Linked DNA regions of Macaca fascicularis. The protein of the gene in region 1 purifies or fractionates together with the protein of each later gene. This does not show direct contact. Links are inferred from orthologs where the notes say so. Each region holds a gene or a part of one and is shown in the gene's direction. Other genes may lie near its edges. The genes, in order: EZH2, PHF19 and MTF2.

Region 1 (7,316 bases):
TTTCCCATAGGAATTTAGGCTTTAGGTGATGCTTCTTAAATTTTGGTTGAATTATTTCTGACCATGTAGTCCACTTGATTGGTTTATGATGCCTGAAATTAGAGGAAGTGATGAGTGTCATCCACATCAGAATAAATCAACAGGCAGACACACCAGCTGCTTTGTGCGGCATTGGGAGCTCAGGAGTTCTGACCAGGAGTCATGGATGAACACAGGAAGTGACGTCTTGCCACACCTGGGGCAGCCTGAGCCATCAAGCTGTTTGAGTTGCTTCAAACTGATGGCAAATATAAACTGGGCAGGGCATGACTCTTGGCTTTAACGCACTGCTGTATTCATGGCACGGACAGATCCAGTTAAGCAGCTCTCGGTTGGATTTGCAGCGTCCTGCAGAAGTTTGGTTTCATTTTCTTTGTGTTTTTGCAGGTTGTGGGCTGCACACTGCAGAAAGATACAGCTGAAAAAGGGTTAGCATCTTTCCATTCCCCTCATTATTAGCTTAACAATGTCTGCTCTGTTTTCATTTGTTTTAGAATAGTAACTGGATTAGAGCTTGGGTTATTCTAATGTAATTGCCTTCTCTACATTAAACCAATTCGAATGGAGAATGTCTATTGATGAATCCCCAGTCAATTCTCTTCTGTAAAGTGGAGGCTGACTGGAAGGTATGAGTCCGAGTCGGTTGAAGGAGAAGTGCTTTGGGATGGGACTTTGATGTAGCCACGCTGTATCTAGATGGAACTCACAAGCACCTGGGGGTGGGAGAGTATTTTTGCCATCGTTTTGGAAACCGGAATATGTGTAACGTTACGCATTCAGTAAAGGCAGGCCAGCTACCCTCCACAGGTAGTAGGGAAGAATGTACTCGTGTTAATTGTGTATGATCGTTTCCATCTCCCTGGATTCATTGGCCTGCATGATGTTATCTTTACTCAGACGGCTCCTCTAACCATGTTTACAACTATCAACCCTGTGATCATCCACGGCAGCCTTGTGACAGTTCGTGCCCTTGTGTGATAGCACAAAATTTTTGTGAAAAGTTTTGTCAATGTAGTTCAGAGTGTAAGTATTTGTTGCTTTGATGGAATTGCATGAGAACTAAATAGGCCTTTGGTTAGCAATTTAAAAAATCAAAAATAAGAACACGGGAGCACTCCCTTGTTTACTTGACGAAACTCATGGATTTGACAAGTATTTATTGAGCCCCATACCTGGCCCTGTGCCACTGGCTGGTCAGTCGCCTGGGTGTTGTGTGTCTATGTGTGTGAGGCAGGCAAAGTTGTATTAAAGGAACCCGAATTTTATTTTTTTTCTTCTTTGATCATTTAAATTAAGTTGTATTAAAGTCGGCACAGATTGTAAGAGGAATCTAGAAGGAGCTACTCAGATAATTTTTGGACACCAGAAATTGTCAGAGTTAGGAGGGTTTTAGTCTTCAGAATAAAGGAATGTAGCATAAACGCAGTGGATTTTTATAATTGTTTAATGAGACTGCACATGAAGCTTGAGTACTAAGGGAGTGTTTAGAACTAGGGGCTGTGAGAATGGTCAAGGACCATGGATATTGTTTCTTCACACTTTATTCACACTTACTTTAAATATATACACTGTTTAACAAATGAAAAATGGAAAAACTCAGTGGTGGTCTTTTTCATACAAACAGCTTTAACTTCGCTGTTAATACTTCCATTTCCTTGTCTGTATAGTAGGGCAATAAGGTGGTTGTGAGGGTTGAGAGTCAGCCAGATGCTCAGTACACCCCTTGCCACGTATCTTTCTGCAAGTTTTTGCATATGGTGATGATGGTGATGGTGGTTATGAGTGAAGAACCTCCAAACCTCTCTCTGAAGGTCAAAACCGCTTTCCGGGATGCCGCTGCAAAGCACAGTGCAACACCAAGCAGTGCCCGTGCTACCTGGCCGTCCGAGAGTGTGACCCTGACCTCTGTCTTACTTGTGGAGCCGCTGACCATTGGGACAGTAAAAATGTGTCCTGCAAGAACTGCAGTATTCAGCGGGGCTCCAAAAAGGTGAGTAACAGTCGCTTCTGGAAGATTGGTAGTAGTTAGCTATTTAGTGATGCAAATGTCAGGATTGTCTTAGATGATTTAGCTGGGGCAAAAAGTAAAAGTGATCCTTGAAAGGTGCAGCTGATGAGAAAGTGTTGATAGTTTTCGCTGGATAGTGCACCCTTGGGCAGTCTCTTCAGTTTTCTATAGAGCACTGTACTCCGATAGTAGGAGAAACCAGCAAATTCTGAGAAGTAGCCATTCATGGTATCAGATTTGGAATAAGATGTATTTTTTCTAGCGGTTTAATAGATTATTTGAATTTCTCTTTTAGTTAATAAAACTAGTAGTTTAGTATCCTTAATGCAAATAAATGGTGATTTCTATCAAAATATAGACTTATTCTCATCAAAGAGTATAGATTCCTTATTATGTAGAGTAAAAGATGAAATTTCCCATGGCAGGTTTTTATAGACTTACTTCCTGTTTGTTTAATAACTTTGAGGCCGGGCGCAGTGGCTCACGCCTGTAATCCCAGCACTTTGGAAGGCCGAGGTGGGCTGATCACGAGGTCAGAAGATTGAGACCATCTTGGCTAACATGGTGAAACCCTGTTTCTACTAAAAATACGAAAATATTAGCCAGGCGTGGTGGCGGGTGCCTGTAGTCCTAGCTACTCGGGAGGCTGAGGCAGGAGAATGGCGTGAACCCAGGAGGCGGAGCTTGCAGTGAACAGAGATCGGGCCACTGCACTCCAGCCTGGGGGACAGAGCGAAACTCTGTCTCAGAAAACAAAACAAAGAAATAAACAAAAACCTTGAAAAAAATCCAGCGAGGAATTCTGTATTTTTAGTGTGGGGAATTGTATGTAGATGGTTTAACTCTCTGAGCCCGGAAGTATGACTGAGTGAAAGAAACTCCAGCAGCATGTGTTTGGGGAATCCTTTTTTTTTTTTTTTAAAGGCAGATAAGGTCTTTCTTCAGTTCTTTTTATAATAATAGCTGACATTTATTAAGCATGTAAAAATAGCAGGCACTGTTCTAAGTGCTTTAGTGGATTCGTTCATTGATCCTCCTAACCCTGTGAGTGAGGAATAAGTGTTAACCCCGTTTTACAGGTAAGGAAACCCAAAGTCACAAGACTTGTAAAGGAGCAGGAGATCAAATCCTCCAGGCTCCCATTACCTGCCCTTATGCTGTGTGTGTGTGTGTGTGTGTGTGTGGTGTAGAGTAGACATATCTTTGTTGTTGGACCATTTATTTATAATTGAGATCACACTTCCTACCAGCAGGTCCCCTTCTACCAGAAATTGTGCTCCAGGCAAAACACTGAAGTTTTCTTGGTTTTGTTTCCTTATGTTTTTGAACCAAAGTCTGTGTTTATGGCAGAGAGCTGTGCAGGGTCGTGGAGAGCTGTGCAGGGTCGTGGGTTTTTTGTTTTTAGCTGTGACTTTTTTCTATCAGACATTTAGATCATTTTACTCTAGGCAGTTATATGTCCATTTAGGTCACTGGATCACAGTGACGCTGGTTCAATTTCCGATGGCATACCCGCTCAGACCTAAAAATCTCAATTTCTCCCCTAAACAGCTTACCATTGTACTCCTTCTTGACTTTGTTCAGAAAGTGGGTACTTCTATTCATACTGACATGTCCTCTTTATAAGACATTTTTTAACTCTGAAAAATGTTAAACTATGTAGATACTTTTTACCAGTTGGGTTTCATTTGCACAGCAGTAGTTAGCTGTTTAGTTTCTGATCAGAAGGATATTTGGGAAGTTCACCTGACAGGTGAGTGGTAAGATGGTCCAGAATAGGAATAGATTGGAAGCTTAGGTGATCAGGGAAGCCTTTGTAAAGGTCACAAGAAAATTTTGGATGAAAGCATAATAATGAGCCATGATGAAAAATTGGCATATGTTTGGGAACACATCCCTAAATACATAATTTACAGCAATGATCATCTCGGCATTTCTGCTGAAAATAGACTACTGGACTGACAAGATCATGGTAATCCCTCCCAATAGTTTCTTGTGTTATCCTGAGGAGGTGGGGTGGAAGAACAAATCCAAAGCCAAGTTGCCATGGGCTTCAGAGGGAACCAGCACCAGCGAAGAGTCAGGGGTGTCCTGAGGCTGAAAATGGAATAATGTTAATAGAAATCACTTGGGGGAAGTAGAGGGAAAGGTATGGAGAAGAAGAGTGATTTGGTGCTGTCCTTAAATTCAGGTTGAAAGTAAATTATTCGAGGAAATCAAGGGCTGAAGAAACAGGGAAGCCAAAAGTGCAGCAGGCCTAGAGCACCTTGCTGAATGATGGTCACTGCAGAGGACTAACACCACCAAAGGGTTTTCTGTAAGACAGAGATTCTTATCTGCTGTATGAGAAAAGCATAATGTTCATAGCCATTCTCAGCAGCTTTCACATTGACTGAAGCTGTGTGTTCCATTACTGCCTTAGAACAGGTCTGAGGATTTACAGTGATAGCTTTTGTTTTCATTCTGTAGTCTGCTTTGTCCCCAGTCCATCTTCACCCTCCTTTTTTGATTGTAATTGTGTTTTATTCTCTAGCATCTATTGCTGGCACCATCTGATGTGGCAGGCTGGGGGATTTTTATCAAAGATCCTGTGCAGAAAAATGAATTCATCTCAGAATACTGTGGAGAGGTAAGGCACTGATTACCTATATTCAGGTGGCATTGTATATACTAACTTTTCTTTATTTTAGATTGATTTTATTAGGTCAGTCTGTGGGTTTGATTGGGAATGAATTGCCATAAACTGCCTTTTAAGCCTGGACGTCTGCATGTTTGTGGATTTGCATGCTTAGTAACTGGATTGTGCTGGGCGCGGGGGCTGACTCCTGCAGTCCCAGCACTTTGGGAGGCTGAGGCACGTGGATTGCTTGAGCTCAGGAGTTGGGAGACCAGCATGGGCAACATGGCGAGACCCCATTGCTACAAAAAATGCAAAAATTAGCCAGGCATGGTGGTGCATACCTGTAGTCCCAGCTACTTGGGAGCTGAGGGAGGAAGATCGCTTGAGCCTGGGAGGTTGAGGCTGCAGTGAGCCATATTTGTGCCACTGCTCTCCAGCCTGGGCAACAAAGTGAGACCCTGTCTCAGAGGAAAACAAAACAAAACAGGATTGCTTGGTTCTAGCCACATTCAGCTTTTCTCATCTATGGTCAGCAGGGAGAACAGGAGCTTTACCATAGAGTGTCCTGCTTAATCCACAACCTGGTTGATAAGGATGTAGAAACAACAGTGTCATTAGTTATTCACCTTCTAAATTGTTGAGTTACCGAAAAATCATAGGGCTAGCTTCAATTTGGAACCAACTCACCCCAATTTTTTTTTTTGAGATGGAGTTTCGCTCTTGTTGCCCAGGATGGAGTGCGATGGTGCGATCTTGGCCCCCTGCAACCTCCGCCTCCCAGGTTCAAGCGATTCTCCTGCCTCAGCCTCCCGAGTAGCTGGGATTACAGGCATGTGCCACCACGCTCAGCTGATTTTGTGTTTTTAGTAGAGATGGGGTTTCTCCATGTTGGTTAGGCTGGTCCTGAACTGCCGACCTCAGGTGATCTGCCTGCCTCAGCCTCCCAAAGTGCTGGGATTACAGGCGTGAGCCACTGCGGCCAACTTGTGTGTGTGTGTGTGTGTTTTTTTTTTTTTTTTTTTAAGCTCAGCGAGAAGACTTTGGTTCCTCACTTTCTCCAAGGATAATTACTTCAGGATGTGGAAATATTTCTGAGTTGGGGTCCTTAATATACAGTTATTCTTAGATTTATCAGTGTGCAGACTGAATGGGAAAGAGAACTTGGCTGTAGTGACCCTTTTTGTTTTCTTCCGAAGGTCCAGTATTCACTGTGTGTGCTTTTGCATGTGCTGTCAGACTTGATCACCTTTATCCAAAAGAATTTTCTCTTGTGTCTTTCTTTTTAGATTATTTCTCAAGATGAAGCTGACAGAAGAGGGAAAGTATATGATAAATACATGTGCAGCTTTCTGTTCAACTTGAACAATGGTATGTATCTGAGCTGGGAGGCAGTGAGTTCCTCTGAGTTGCATGTGGCAGCCTTCTGCCTGCCAAGTGTTCAGAAACGAGGGTGGAGGTCAGTGAGGTGACCAGAAGGAGGATCTCCTTAGAGGCATCGGGGGCTGCTTGCTTGAAAGGAACTGGAGCAAGGAATTCCTCAGGGAGCAGATGGACTAGGTGTGCAGGAAACCGCCTCTCTGAAGCCCTGGCCATCTGTGAGTGGCGCTGTACCAGTGTCTGGCTGTGACGGGGATGTTGTGCTCTTGCTGCCTCACCTCTTGTGTTCAGGCAGCTCAGCTCACCTCCTGCAGTCAGTGCCTCGGAGCTGGGAAGGAGGGGAGGAGCCAGACTCCCCTGGATATTCTCAAAGGACTGGGAGGAAAGGCAGTTGCTTTCATAGCTGATGTTCTGGGGTAGAATGTAAGTCTGTAGGGATATTTCTGGTGGGATTGTTCTGGTGGGAGGTTGGCTTAACATGTAAGATATTCAGAGAAACTCTTAGTTGGAACAAGTAGAATAGATTTTTTCTAGGAATGCTTTATAGACATTATAAAAAAAACTAATGTTAAATGAATTGATGTTCAGAAGAATTTTGTCAGATTCTTTTTAATTTTTTTTTTATTTTGCTTAGTAATGTATGTTTATAGTTGATAATTAATAGCTTTTGTGTCAGATAACCATCTTGAATTATAGGTGATTAATTTTAACCTGGAACAATAGTGTGTTCTTCCAAATGTCATTTCTTACTGAATGAAGTTGCTTGAATGATTTATTTGCTTTTGCAGGCAAACCCTGAAGAACTATAACCGGTTGCATTTACAGAATCATAATAACTTGATTTACTTATAACTGAAATTATTCACTGGGCTCATTTTCCTCTTTTTAGATTTTGTGGTGGATGCAACCCGCAAGGGTAACAAAATTCGTTTTGCAAATCATTCGGTAAATCCAAACTGCTATGCAAAAGGTAGGTATCTTTGACGTCAGAATTGGAACTCCCTTTTTAATCCTGTGATGATGGACTTGAATACTTCTGGGATAGTTGTTTGTTATGTGAACAAGTCAGTTAACCTCCCGTGGCCTGTCTTCATGCTCACTGACACCAGTGTGTCTCTTTCCAGTTATGATGGTTAACGGCGATCACAGGATAGGTATTTTTGCCAAGAGAGCCATCCAGACTGGTGAAGAGCTGTTTTTTGATTACAGGTTGGTAAAGTACATTTCTAACATGATCTCTAAGGGCTTTTTCTACTGGATCGTGAACGCTGG
Region 2 (3,600 bases), on another chromosome or scaffold:
AGTGAGAGACTTACAGGCATGCCGGGTTAAAAAACAAACACGTAAAAGATCGTTCCCTGCTCTTACAATCTAGTTGAGAGTCGGGCCATAAAAAGGGACCCTAGGCCAGGTGTGGTGGCTCACGCCTGTAATCCTAGCACTTTGGGAGGCGGAGGTGGGTGGATCACCTGAAGTCAGGAGTTCGAGACCAGCCTAGCCAACATGGTGAGACCCTCCTCTGTACTAAAAATACAAAAATTAGCTGGGCGTGGTGGCGGGCGCCTGTAATCCCAGCTACTCAAGAGGCTGAGACAGGAGAATTGCTTGAACCCAGGAAGCAGAGGTTGCAGTGAGCCGAGATTGGGCCATTGCACTCCAGCCTCGGTGACAAGAGTGAAACTCCATCTCAAAAAAAAAAAGGACCCTAACACATAAAGAGATTTTTGAGGTGTTAAACCCAAACCAACAAGGTGGAGAGTCTCATCCCTCCCTCCACCATCAGTCCTACAAGGTTAAGACATCTGACAGAGAAGGAGCCTTTGTCAAATTGGTAGTTCGCAAAAATAAAGGTTGTGTAGCTTTTAATCTAAAATTCTACCCCAACACTAAGTTCCGTAACTATTTTGATTAATATATTCTTAAGGATTTAGCGACTCTGTGTGTGTGTGTGTGTGTGTGTGTGTGTGTGTGTGCGCGCGCGCTTAGACGAAAACAGAAACGGTTCCTTAAAATACCCAGTTTGTGAAAGCAAAGGGCCTGGAACCACTTAGTACTATCACTTTGATCAAGTACTATCAAGTACTATCACTTGATTGCTTCAACCCAATAAGCTTGGGAGAGCCTGGCACTGTGCTAGGATCTTCTGGAGAAATCCAAGAATGGTAAGACTTGGGTTTTACTGCTCTTCACCTCACTACTCGGATCTCAGGCAGGCAGGGGACCAGGGTGGGGGCTCCAATTCCCGGTTCGTGTTTGTTTTTTCAGGGGGCATTTTACTGAGCACTAAATACGCGCAGGTGCTGCACTAGGTGCCAGGAGCCCCGCACGCGGAGGAGCGGCGTGCACGCGTGTCAGTTAACTGGGCGCACAGTGCCCGTGGCGCCGCAGACCCAGCCCTCGGACTCAGTTTCCCCGCATGGGGATCGCTCGCCCCGCCCGCGGCGGGCCGCGGAGCAGCAGCCCCCCGCCCCGGCCCTGCCTTCCAGGTTTCCGCCCGCGCGGCTGCGTCCTCCACACTCCACCGGAAGCTCCCGGCAGGGCCGCGGGTAGGTGGTGGCGGAGGCGGCGACGAGGTTGGCTGCTCTGCACCCCTGCCCCAGGACAGCAGGGCGGCTCCCCGGCCCCCTTCCTCGTCCTGGACGCCCCGCTCCAGCTCCCCCTCGCTGAAGCGGGGACTCCCCGGGCGCAGCCGGGGACATGGAACCTCGGCTGCAGAGCCGGCCCCTGGACTCACTGCCCCCAGCCCAGCGGCAGGCGCCCCGGCCGCCCGGCGGCTTATTCCTGCTTCCGCGGGCACCGGCGCTGCCTGACTCCCAGCGCTGCGCTCGCAACTGGATATGTTGAGGTGGCGACGCGACGCTCCCCCGCCCTCGGGAGGGATCACCGACTGGGCTGGGGGCTCAGACAGGCAACCCGGCCTGCAGAGCCGGGCGGCGGGGGCTGTGCTGGCGCCGGCAGGCGAGAGGAATCACAGAGCGGGGCGCCCAGCCTCATCATGGGGCCCACAAAGACTTCCCATGGGAGTGGGGTCTAGTGCAGGGGCGCCCCGAAGGACGAGTGGGAGATGGGGACACGCGGCGCAGAGAGACTTCTCGTGGATGGAGCCGATGGAGGCCCAGTGTGGAAGAGAAAGGGGTCAAGGAGACGAATAAGGAGCCACCAGAGACGCAGGGGGAATTCCCCCCAGAGGATGCGGGAAGCCGGGGAAAGGAAGGGAATCCGGAAGGAAGGGCTGAGAGCCGGTCAGGTGCTGGCAGAAGGGCTGGTTGGATAGAGACTGGGACGGGCCCAGAGCATTTGGCGTCCTCGACATTCATATACACTTGGAGAGATGATTCCCTGGAGATCCAAGTGCCTGTATAGACAATCTTTTCTAGGGGTTCTACAATTAAGAACCCCTAGGAGAGGGGTTCTTAAGTGAGGAGAGGGTAGATGTAGAAATTGGAGACGAGAATAGAGTGTTGTAAAGGCATGCGTGGTTAGAGAACTGGCTCTGGATTCAGGAGTCCCCACTCACTAGCTGTGAGACCTTCAGCAAGTCACTTAGCCTCTCTGTGCCTCGGTTTTCTCATCTCTAAGGTGGGGATGATGATGGCCATACCTGCTTCATAGAGTGACAATTAGATGAGATGATGTCTGTAAAATTACATAACACAGCACCCAAAAGTAGTACTAGTTATTTTTCCCTTTTCTTATTAGAGCAGCTTGGGCACATTTTGATGTCCGTGGGAATGAACAGGTAGAGTGGGTGGTATTGAAGCCAGAGGGGAGAGAAGGGACCCACAGATGGGGAGAGAAGTCTTGGGTGTTTGTTTTATCTCAAACCCCAGGGAAAGGAGGGAACAGGTAGGGCTGTAGGAAAGTTTGCAGCTATGGGGTACACAGTTAAAGGGAGTGTCTTCTCATGGTCTTGATGCAGGCCTGGAGGTCGTTTGCTATAGGGGTGAAGGTCCTGATGTACACTGTGGCTGTAAGATGCCGTGCCCTCTTTGCCACCAGCCTGTGGCAGCCCCGGTGTTACACCAGGGCAGGTGGGCAGTTTAATGTATCTCAGGTCCGATGACCTGCACTGCCCACCTGTGAGGCTCCAGTAGATAGATGTGAAAACACAGTGTAAGCATAATGTCCCACTTTCATCCTTTTCTCTGAGGAGCTGGAAGGCCTGTAGTCACCATCTGAGCCAAATGTCAAAGTCTTTCAAGTACTTCACTTGGGCTACACACCACACTTTGATCCACGATCTCATTTAGTCATCACAACAGTTGGGTGAAATAGGTATTATTGTCCCATTTTACAGATGCAGAATCTGAGTTTCAGAGAAGTTAAGGACTTTGTCCCAGGGCCCGCAGTTAGTAAGCAGTGGACCCAGGATTTCAACTCAGCTCTGTCTGACCTCAAAACCCATGATCTGAAACCAATGTGAAAGTTTGCAAAACCTCTGTAGCAGCTGAACTCGATGGAAAGATATGTAGGGATCATCTTCTCCATTTAATAGATGAGACAAGAGCTGGGTACTCTGATCTCCATCAGAGATCACACGCACAGAGCTTGGGGCCCCACAGCCCTGGAGTGAATCCTGCTCCACCACCAGAGGCTGTGTGCCTTTGGACCAGGCATCTTGCTTCTCTGACCCTATGTACAGCTGCAGAAGAATTCCTTGCAGGTTGCTGTAAGGATTTGGAGGGAAACTGTTGCCCAGCACACAGTACACATGCCAGGAGCCATCGTTTCCAAGGTGTACTTCTCCTGCAAACGTGGATCTACGTCCCACTTGGCTGCTGAGACCAGCTGCCGTGATCTTGTAGTTGTTTAATGCTTTGTTCTCCTTGAGGCAGCAAAGTGGTGGCACCTGACCGGAGCATGTAGCCACCTATGACTTCCTGAGTGGGGTGGTGCAGGGAG
Region 3 (7,316 bases), on another chromosome or scaffold:
GTAAAATAGTTACTGATTATGCTAGTGCCATTTTTAATAGCATACTGTTTTAGACTTTACTATGGATAGAGATGGGACCTTTGTACTTTAATGATGAGGCTTAAGGAAGGACTATTTAAGATAATATTTAAATTAAGACTTAAAAATGAGAATGATATAACAATGTGAAAAACAAAGGGAAAACTACTCCAGCTAGCAGAAATAACAAGTGCAAAGGCTTTGAAACGTATTCTAGGAACTCACAGAAGACTGATGTGTTATAAATGAGGATGAGAGAGTAGTAGCATCAGGTATTGGAAAGATTAGGTGAGACTTGATCCTGTGTAGGGTCTTGTAGGGCTTACAGAGAATTTGGGTTGTTTTCTAAGAATAAAGGGGAGGCATTTAAGGGATTTAATTATCTTTTAAAAATACTCGGCCGGGTGCAGTGGTTCACGCCTGTAATCCCAGTACTTTGGGAGGCCAAAGCAGGTGGATCACCTGAGGTTGGGAGTTTGAGACCAGCCTGACCAAGATGGTGAAACCTCATCTCTACTATAATTACAAAAATTAGCCGGGCATGGTGGCGTGCGCCTGTAGGCTCAGCTACTCGGGAGACTGAGGCAGGAGAATCACTTGAACCCGGGAGGCGGAGGTTGCAGTGAGCCGAGATCGCGCCACTGTACTCCAACGTGGGCAACAGAGCGAGACTCTGTCTCAAAAAAAAAACAAAACTGTTTTGGATGCTGTTTTGAGAATGGGTAGTATACAGGTAAGAATAAAAGCAGGAGAAAATTAAGACTCAGTTTTCTAGCTGAGAGATAGATAGATGGTATGAGGTACAGAGGTAGGTGGTAACATTCAAATGGAAAGAAAACAGATTTGAGGTCTTTATTGGAGTTAGAATTAATTGGATTTGCTAGTGAATTAAATTTCTGAAAATAAAGAAGGAGTCAATTAAATAATGCCCAGATTTCTGGCCTGAGCAACTGATGAGGGGTTAATCAAGATCTGGAAAAACAGATTCTGGTATGGTGAATGAAGCATTCTTCTGTTTCATATTCATTGAATTTGAGATTCTTATGAGGGATACACACACACACACACACACACACACACACACACCCCTCATACACACAGAATGAGTGAAATACGGGCAATTGGATGTGTAATTTAGGAGCTCATAGGAGAGTTCTGGACAGGCGATACAAATTTGGAATCTGATTGATAAAGCCATGAGAATGAGTGAAATTACCGAGGGAGCAAGTAGAGAGAGAAGAGAAGGTGGTCTGGGATCATGTCCTGATATCATTTGTAAATTTGGAAGAAGTGAAATAAGCAGAGGAGACTAAAAAAGAGTGATCAGTGAGATGGGAGGAAACCAAGAAGTTTGATGTCATGACAACCAAAAGAAAGGTAGTGTTTCAAGAAAGATAGCTATATTAAAGTGTATTGAATGCTAGTGAGGTAGATTAAAATGAAAGAAAAATATTTATTGCATAACATTTTGTTATTAGTGACCTTGACAAAAGGAATTTCTTTGAAGTAGTACAGATAGAAACCAGATAGGACTGGGTGGAAGTATGACTGAATCCAGCATTGCCAAATTTACATGTCAAACTGTGCTTCTCCTACATATCAGGGACACAGGCAGATTCAAAATAATAACAGTAGTGAAGGAAAGGAGGAAAATAGGAAACTATCTTTAAGGATTCTGAATGAGAGGGGAGAAAATGGAAAGCGTATTATGTCATCAACACCCAGAAGTTTTCCTGTATAGGGAGGCTGACAAATGGAATGACAGCTGAAGAGGGGGATAGGACTAGTTAAATGATGGTTTTTTTTAAAATAGTTGGGAGATAGTTGGAACCTGTTTTTGTGTGTAAGTAGGAATGATCCATTGGAGAAGAGGAAATTGGTATAGGAGAGTAGAAGCCAAAAGAGAAGGGATATAGAGCCTAAATGTGGGACTCGCCTTTTCTAGAAGGAGAAACATCCTTCTGTTGAAATGGGGTAAAAGAGAAGATGGGTACAGATGCTAGTTCTGTTATAGATTGGGCAGTTGGAAATTGACTGAAGTTCTTGCCTGGTAGCCTCTATTTTCTCGATGAAATATAAGGTAAAGATAGCAGAGAGTCTTGTACAGAGATGGGAATTTGAGGATCAATTAAAGGTATGGAATAGTCATCTTGGAGATAAGGAAAATGTGATTACAAAGCCTTGACAATGAGTCCAGTTATTTGAAGTTTGTAAGAAATTAGCTGCTAATTAAGTTTTCTTTCCTGAAGGAAAGAATGCTTATTATTCCTATCACTTTCAGATTTGGTCACTCAAATCCTTTGCTAGCAGTTGCCATATTATGAATCAGAAAAAAATAATTCCACAAGCTTTTTCATTTCTATCATGATTGTGATAGGATGCTCCCTTTGTGGTAGCTATCAGGTCATCTGATGCCACCAGATAAGGATTCAGCTGCTTTGTTTAAAGGCATCCTGAGTTCCTTCTGGACCTTGTGTATAAGTTGTTCCTTTTAGTTAGAGGTTACTTTCTTTAGTCCAGGAGTCCTTTATAAATATTATGTTGATCATTTTACAAAAGAAATGGATATCCCATCCATCTTGTTCTTGAGACTTTTGATTATAGTGTCTGGTTCTGCTTTGTCGTTATAGTTCCCCTACTTTCTCCTTCCTCATAGTTCCACCTTTATTCCCTGACCTTGTTTGGCATCTAGAGGGATAAGTTTTTTTCCTACTTTCTCCATTCATCTCTTTCTAGGCTATTATATAGTGTTCTTTTTTCCTCTCCTTAATTAAAGTTTCCTGGACAATTTTCTCGTAGCCCTCACTCCATTTTATTAGCTTGCTTGTATACACATTTGTCACTTTCTAACTATATTGTGAACTCTTTAGCACCAGGAACACCTTTGTATCCATATTATCTAATATCGTCTTTATATGGTAGCTATTGTTGAGTAAATGAAATATTCTTTCTATATATATTTTTTATTTTTTTCTATTAATTAGAGTGTCTTTGCCTGTTGCACTTTTTTCCTTCCTATTGCTTGGAATTTGGCTTTATGTTTAAAATATGGTTTTCTAGGTCTTTGTGACCTAGAAAGACCTTTTGAATGACTCCCTGAGAATATGAAGGATTTCTTACTCCTTTCTTCTTTACGTTCTGCCACTCTGGGCTTCATTCTCTTTCTGATAGTGTCATTCAAGAATCTACATATATATCTAAAGGCAGCCTTTATGACTACTATAATTTTAACATAGCTATTTCTTGACTCCATTAGGTTAACTGCTAAATTCATAGTCATTTTTAGTAGTAAATCCTTGAAACATCCTCCACGTTGTAACAACCTAAAATTAAACTATATAATTGAGCTTTTAGGAGTTTTGAAATCTTCCATTCAGTATAATTGTCTGGTTTTTGTTGTTGTTGTTTTTAAATCTTTAAGTGGTATATATTGTTCAGAATTATATTAAAGAGGACTTTTTTAAACCTTTCATAATGGTTTAAATATCTTTAAAGTGAAGAAATATTTATTTAAATTAGAATATATTATCAATGCACTTGATTAAACTTGTGGATTCAATTAATAATTTTTATATTACCATTAATATAAAATAGTAAAATATATGTGTATATATGTCTAGTTACGTACATAGAGTCAATGTCTTTGTTTTCTTGATGCAGAGATTAAATGCATAATGGTTTTCCATTTCAGGGAAGTAAGCAATGGCATAGAAAAAAAAGGAAAGAAAAAATCTGTAGGTCGTCCACCTGGCCCATATACAAGAAAAATGATTCAAAAAACTGCTGAGCCACTTTTGGTAAGAGGATATGTTGGTATATGTTCTCAAGAAGAAGGATGCGTGAAATAACTGAGAAGCTAGTATTTTTTTCAGCTTATTCTAGAGACATGCTTTAAGTATATATTTTTATTTTCCAGGATAAGGAGTCAGTTTCAGAGAATCCTACTTTGGATTTACCTTGTTCTATAGGGTAAATAGAAAGTTATTTTCTCCCTTTCTAGGTTTTGTCTTTTGAGTGGATGTTAATATTTCTGTTTGTTATATAATATAGTCATTACACAATTTAAATTCTTTTGTCTCAGGAGAACTGAGGGAACTGCACATTCATCTAATACCTCAGATGTGGATTTCACGGGTGCTTCCAGTGCAAAAGAAACTACCTCGTCTAGCATTTCCAGGCATTATGGGTAGATATTTTAGTTCTTATTTTTTTTACTTTTCTTATTCTAGATTCCTTTTCTTTGTAAAGTGTTGATTGAATAATTTTTTAGCAATTGAAAGTGATGCAAGTTGTGTCTATCAGCTTTTTGAGCGGTAATCTAGATGTAGATCCCATTAGTTGTTAATATTCATTTGAATATTTTTGCTTTCTAGAGTACAAACATTGTATTTTTCAAGTTTGTATGGAAATTTGCTGTGAACACAGAGAAAAAGTATACCATTGTTTAGAAGCTGTGCTTGTTAGGCTTTTTAATGCCTCTGCTTACACAAGTGTTCTTTGCTTTAGAAAGATTTGATTTTTTTATTTTTTAAGAGACAGATTCTCATTCTGTTGCCCAGGCTAGAGTACAGTGGCACAATCATGGCTCATTGCAGCCTCAAACTCCTGGCTTCAAAAAAGTCCTCCCACGTCAGCCTCTGTAGTGACTAGGACTAGAGATTGTGCCACCACACCTAACTAATGCTTTTTTATTTTTTGTAGAGATGGTTTTGCTAAGTTGCCCAGGTTGGTCTTGAACTCCTGGCCTCAAGTGATCCTCCTGTGTTGGCCTTCTCAAGTGCTGGGATTACATGCATGAGCCATTGCAACTAGCCAAGATTTGATTGGGAAAAAGAAAAAAAAAAAGAATCAGACACCTAAATCCTTTTGTCCATAAAATGATTTTAAACTTAGGATTTTTATCTGATATTTAATCCAGCCCTTCAGAAGGACATTTTTGTTTATTGGTTTTTTTTTTTTTTTTTTTTTTTTTGGAGACTACTCTGTCACCCAGGCTGGAGTGCAGTGGCATGATCTTGACTCACTGCAACCTCTGCCTCCCGGATTCAAGCGATTCTCGCGCCTCAGCCTCTCACATAGCTGGGATTACAGGCGTGCGCCACCATGCCCAGCTAACTTTTTGTATTTTTAGTAGAGATGGGGTTTCACCGTGTTGGCGAGGCAGGTCTTGAACTCCTAAACTCAAGTGATCTACCTGCCTCGGCCTCCCAAAGTGCTGGGATTACAGGCGTGAGCCACTGCGCCCAATCAGGACAACTTTTCTCTAAAGCATGTCATGTCAGGTATGAAAAGGTTAATCTGTTTGGGGTCAGAGCTACTATTTTCAAGTTTTTTACTTTGTTCTGTTTAAATTTTGTTCATAATTCAAAAACTGCTATTGTAAATTATGCAAAATTCTACATTAAATGCTTAAAGTGTAACCCATTTATTAACGAATTCTGAATAATTGACTTTTTTGGGCCTCTTACTAGGTACTCTGCTAAGCTTTTTATGTATATTATCGTATTTAATTCTTAAAACAATTTTTTGGCTGGGTGTGGTGGCTTATGCCTATAATCTCAGCACTTTGGGAGGCCAGGGTAGGAGGACTGCTTGAGGCAAGAGTTTGAGATGAGACACCATCCCTACAAAAGAAAAAAGTTATCTGGGTGTGGTGGTGCTGTCTGTAGTCCTAGATAATCAGGAAGCTGAGGTGGAGGATTACTTGAGCCCAGGAGGTCAAGGCTGTAGTGAGCCATGATTGTGCCACTGCACTGCAGCCTGGGCAAGAGAGTGAGGCCTTGTCTCAGACAAACAAAAGAGAACAATTTTTTGAGTTGTATAAGTCCTGTTGTTCTCATTTTACAGATGAGGAAACTGAGACTTAGGGGATTTTAAGTAACAAGCCCAACATTGCATGTTTAGCAAGTATAACAGAGCTGGATTGTTAATTTATACAGTATGACTGTGGGTCTTTCAATTTAGTTGTTGTGCTATATTCTCCTTTTATTATAAAATCATAAAATAATTGAATTTCTGTGCTGAAAAGGACCTTACAAATTATCCAATCCAACCCCTTCACTCAGTAAGTGAACATAGAGAATAAGATTTGAATTTGGCCAAATAATAGAGTTAGAGATAGACCCAGGATACTCTGACTGCTAGTTTGTGCTTATTCTGGTGTATTACTTCACTAGGCCTAGAACTGGTAATAAGAGAACCTCTATTCTAGTTCTACTCTTCAAGGACATGGAACAGTGTCATAGATGTAGTTTGTGTTCATTCATTATTTGTTCCAATGAAAAATAAATGAGCTCTTTTAAATGATGAGATTATTGGCAATACATGATTTATGAGTAGGGCCTCTTGATAAGAATTTTTCCTTGTTGGCCTCCTAAGTAAAAAAATTACCCTCAGCTTACTAGTAAAGGAAGAAAAGCTCTACAAAGTTCAGCCCCAAGAAGGTGACAAAATCTAAAGTAAGGAGCACAAGTGATAGTCCATTTATATCGCATTTATTGTTTGAGTTTGGCTTATTTTTATGTCATCAAGGATATATGGTATAGTAGAATAATCCAAAAAAGAGAACATATTGTGTGGGCATAGGATGCTTAAAAAGCTTAGCAGACAATTCTGGCCTTCTCTGTTAAATAGATTATCTGACTCCAGAAAAAGAACGCGTACAGGAAGATCTTGGCCTGCTGCAATACCACATTTGCGGAGAAGAAGAGGTCGTCTTCCAAGAAGAGCACTCCAGACTCAGAACTCAGAAATTGTAAAAGATGATGAAGGCAAAGAAGATTATCAGTTTGATGAACTCAACACAGAGATTCTGAATAACTTAGCAGATCAGGAGTTACAACTCAATCATCTAAAGAACTCCATTACCAGTTATTTTGGTGCTGCAGGTAGAATAGCATGTGGCGAAAAATACCGAGTTTTGGCCCGTCGGGTGACACTTGATGGAAAGGTGCAGTATCTTGTGGAATGGGAAGGAGCAACTGCATCCTGACTGTAGGACTGAACATTATGTTCACTGCACTCTGATTTTCTGTAGGTACAGTTCAAAGCCCTAAAGGAGTCTGGCTTTTACTATCTTTCTTAAAAAAAAAGAAAAGTCAAAAAAATTCAAAAAAGGGGATGATACTAGCCTTAACATGTACCTGTCAATGTTATGGATATTGTCATAAAAAGGTATCTTTTAAAAATCAGAACAGAGACTTAATTTTTTAAATCTTAAGATTTGTAGAATGTTTCTAGGGTAGGATATTAAAAATGATTGAAACCCATGCATGGTGTTAGACAATTTTTCTAATTAT

The links.
Region 2: the proteins of EZH2 (region 1) and PHF19 purify together in Homo sapiens (affinity purification with mass spectrometry; 10 studies listed by BioGRID and IntAct, counting the BioPlex papers as one, with this or other methods). This does not show direct contact. The link is inferred for Macaca fascicularis from reciprocal best matches to the Homo sapiens genes EZH2 and PHF19.
Region 3: the proteins of EZH2 (region 1) and MTF2 purify together in Homo sapiens (affinity purification with mass spectrometry; 10 studies listed by BioGRID and IntAct, with this or other methods). This does not show direct contact. The link is inferred for Macaca fascicularis from reciprocal best matches to the Homo sapiens genes EZH2 and MTF2.

Annotation. Positions count from the first base shown.
Region 1 is NC_088377.1:190,464,752-190,472,067, reverse strand, and holds part of EZH2 (histone-lysine N-methyltransferase EZH2), read left to right. Parts: intron 1-426; coding exon 427-467; intron 468-936; coding exon 937-1,062; intron 1,063-1,850; coding exon 1,851-2,029; intron 2,030-4,580; coding exon 4,581-4,676; intron 4,677-5,953; coding exon 5,954-6,035; intron 6,036-6,933; coding exon 6,934-7,014; intron 7,015-7,168; coding exon 7,169-7,253; intron 7,254-7,316. UniProt on the Homo sapiens protein: Polycomb group (PcG) protein. Catalytic subunit of the PRC2/EED-EZH2 complex, which methylates 'Lys-9' (H3K9me) and 'Lys-27' (H3K27me) of histone H3, leading to transcriptional repression of the affected target gene.
Region 2 is NC_088389.1:37,054,343-37,057,942, forward strand, and holds the start of PHF19 (PHD finger protein 19), read left to right. Parts: upstream 1-1,211; 5' UTR 1,212-1,244; intron 1,245-1,246; exon of another isoform or gene 1,247-3,600.
Region 3 is NC_088375.1:141,293,517-141,300,832, reverse strand, and holds part of MTF2 (metal-response element-binding transcription factor 2), read left to right. Parts: intron 1-3,709; coding exon 3,710-3,815; intron 3,816-3,934; coding exon 3,935-3,987; intron 3,988-4,099; coding exon 4,100-4,204; intron 4,205-6,651; coding exon 6,652-7,009; 3' UTR 7,010-7,316. UniProt on the Homo sapiens protein: Polycomb group (PcG) protein that specifically binds histone H3 trimethylated at 'Lys-36' (H3K36me3) and recruits the PRC2 complex, thus enhancing PRC2 H3K27me3 methylation activity.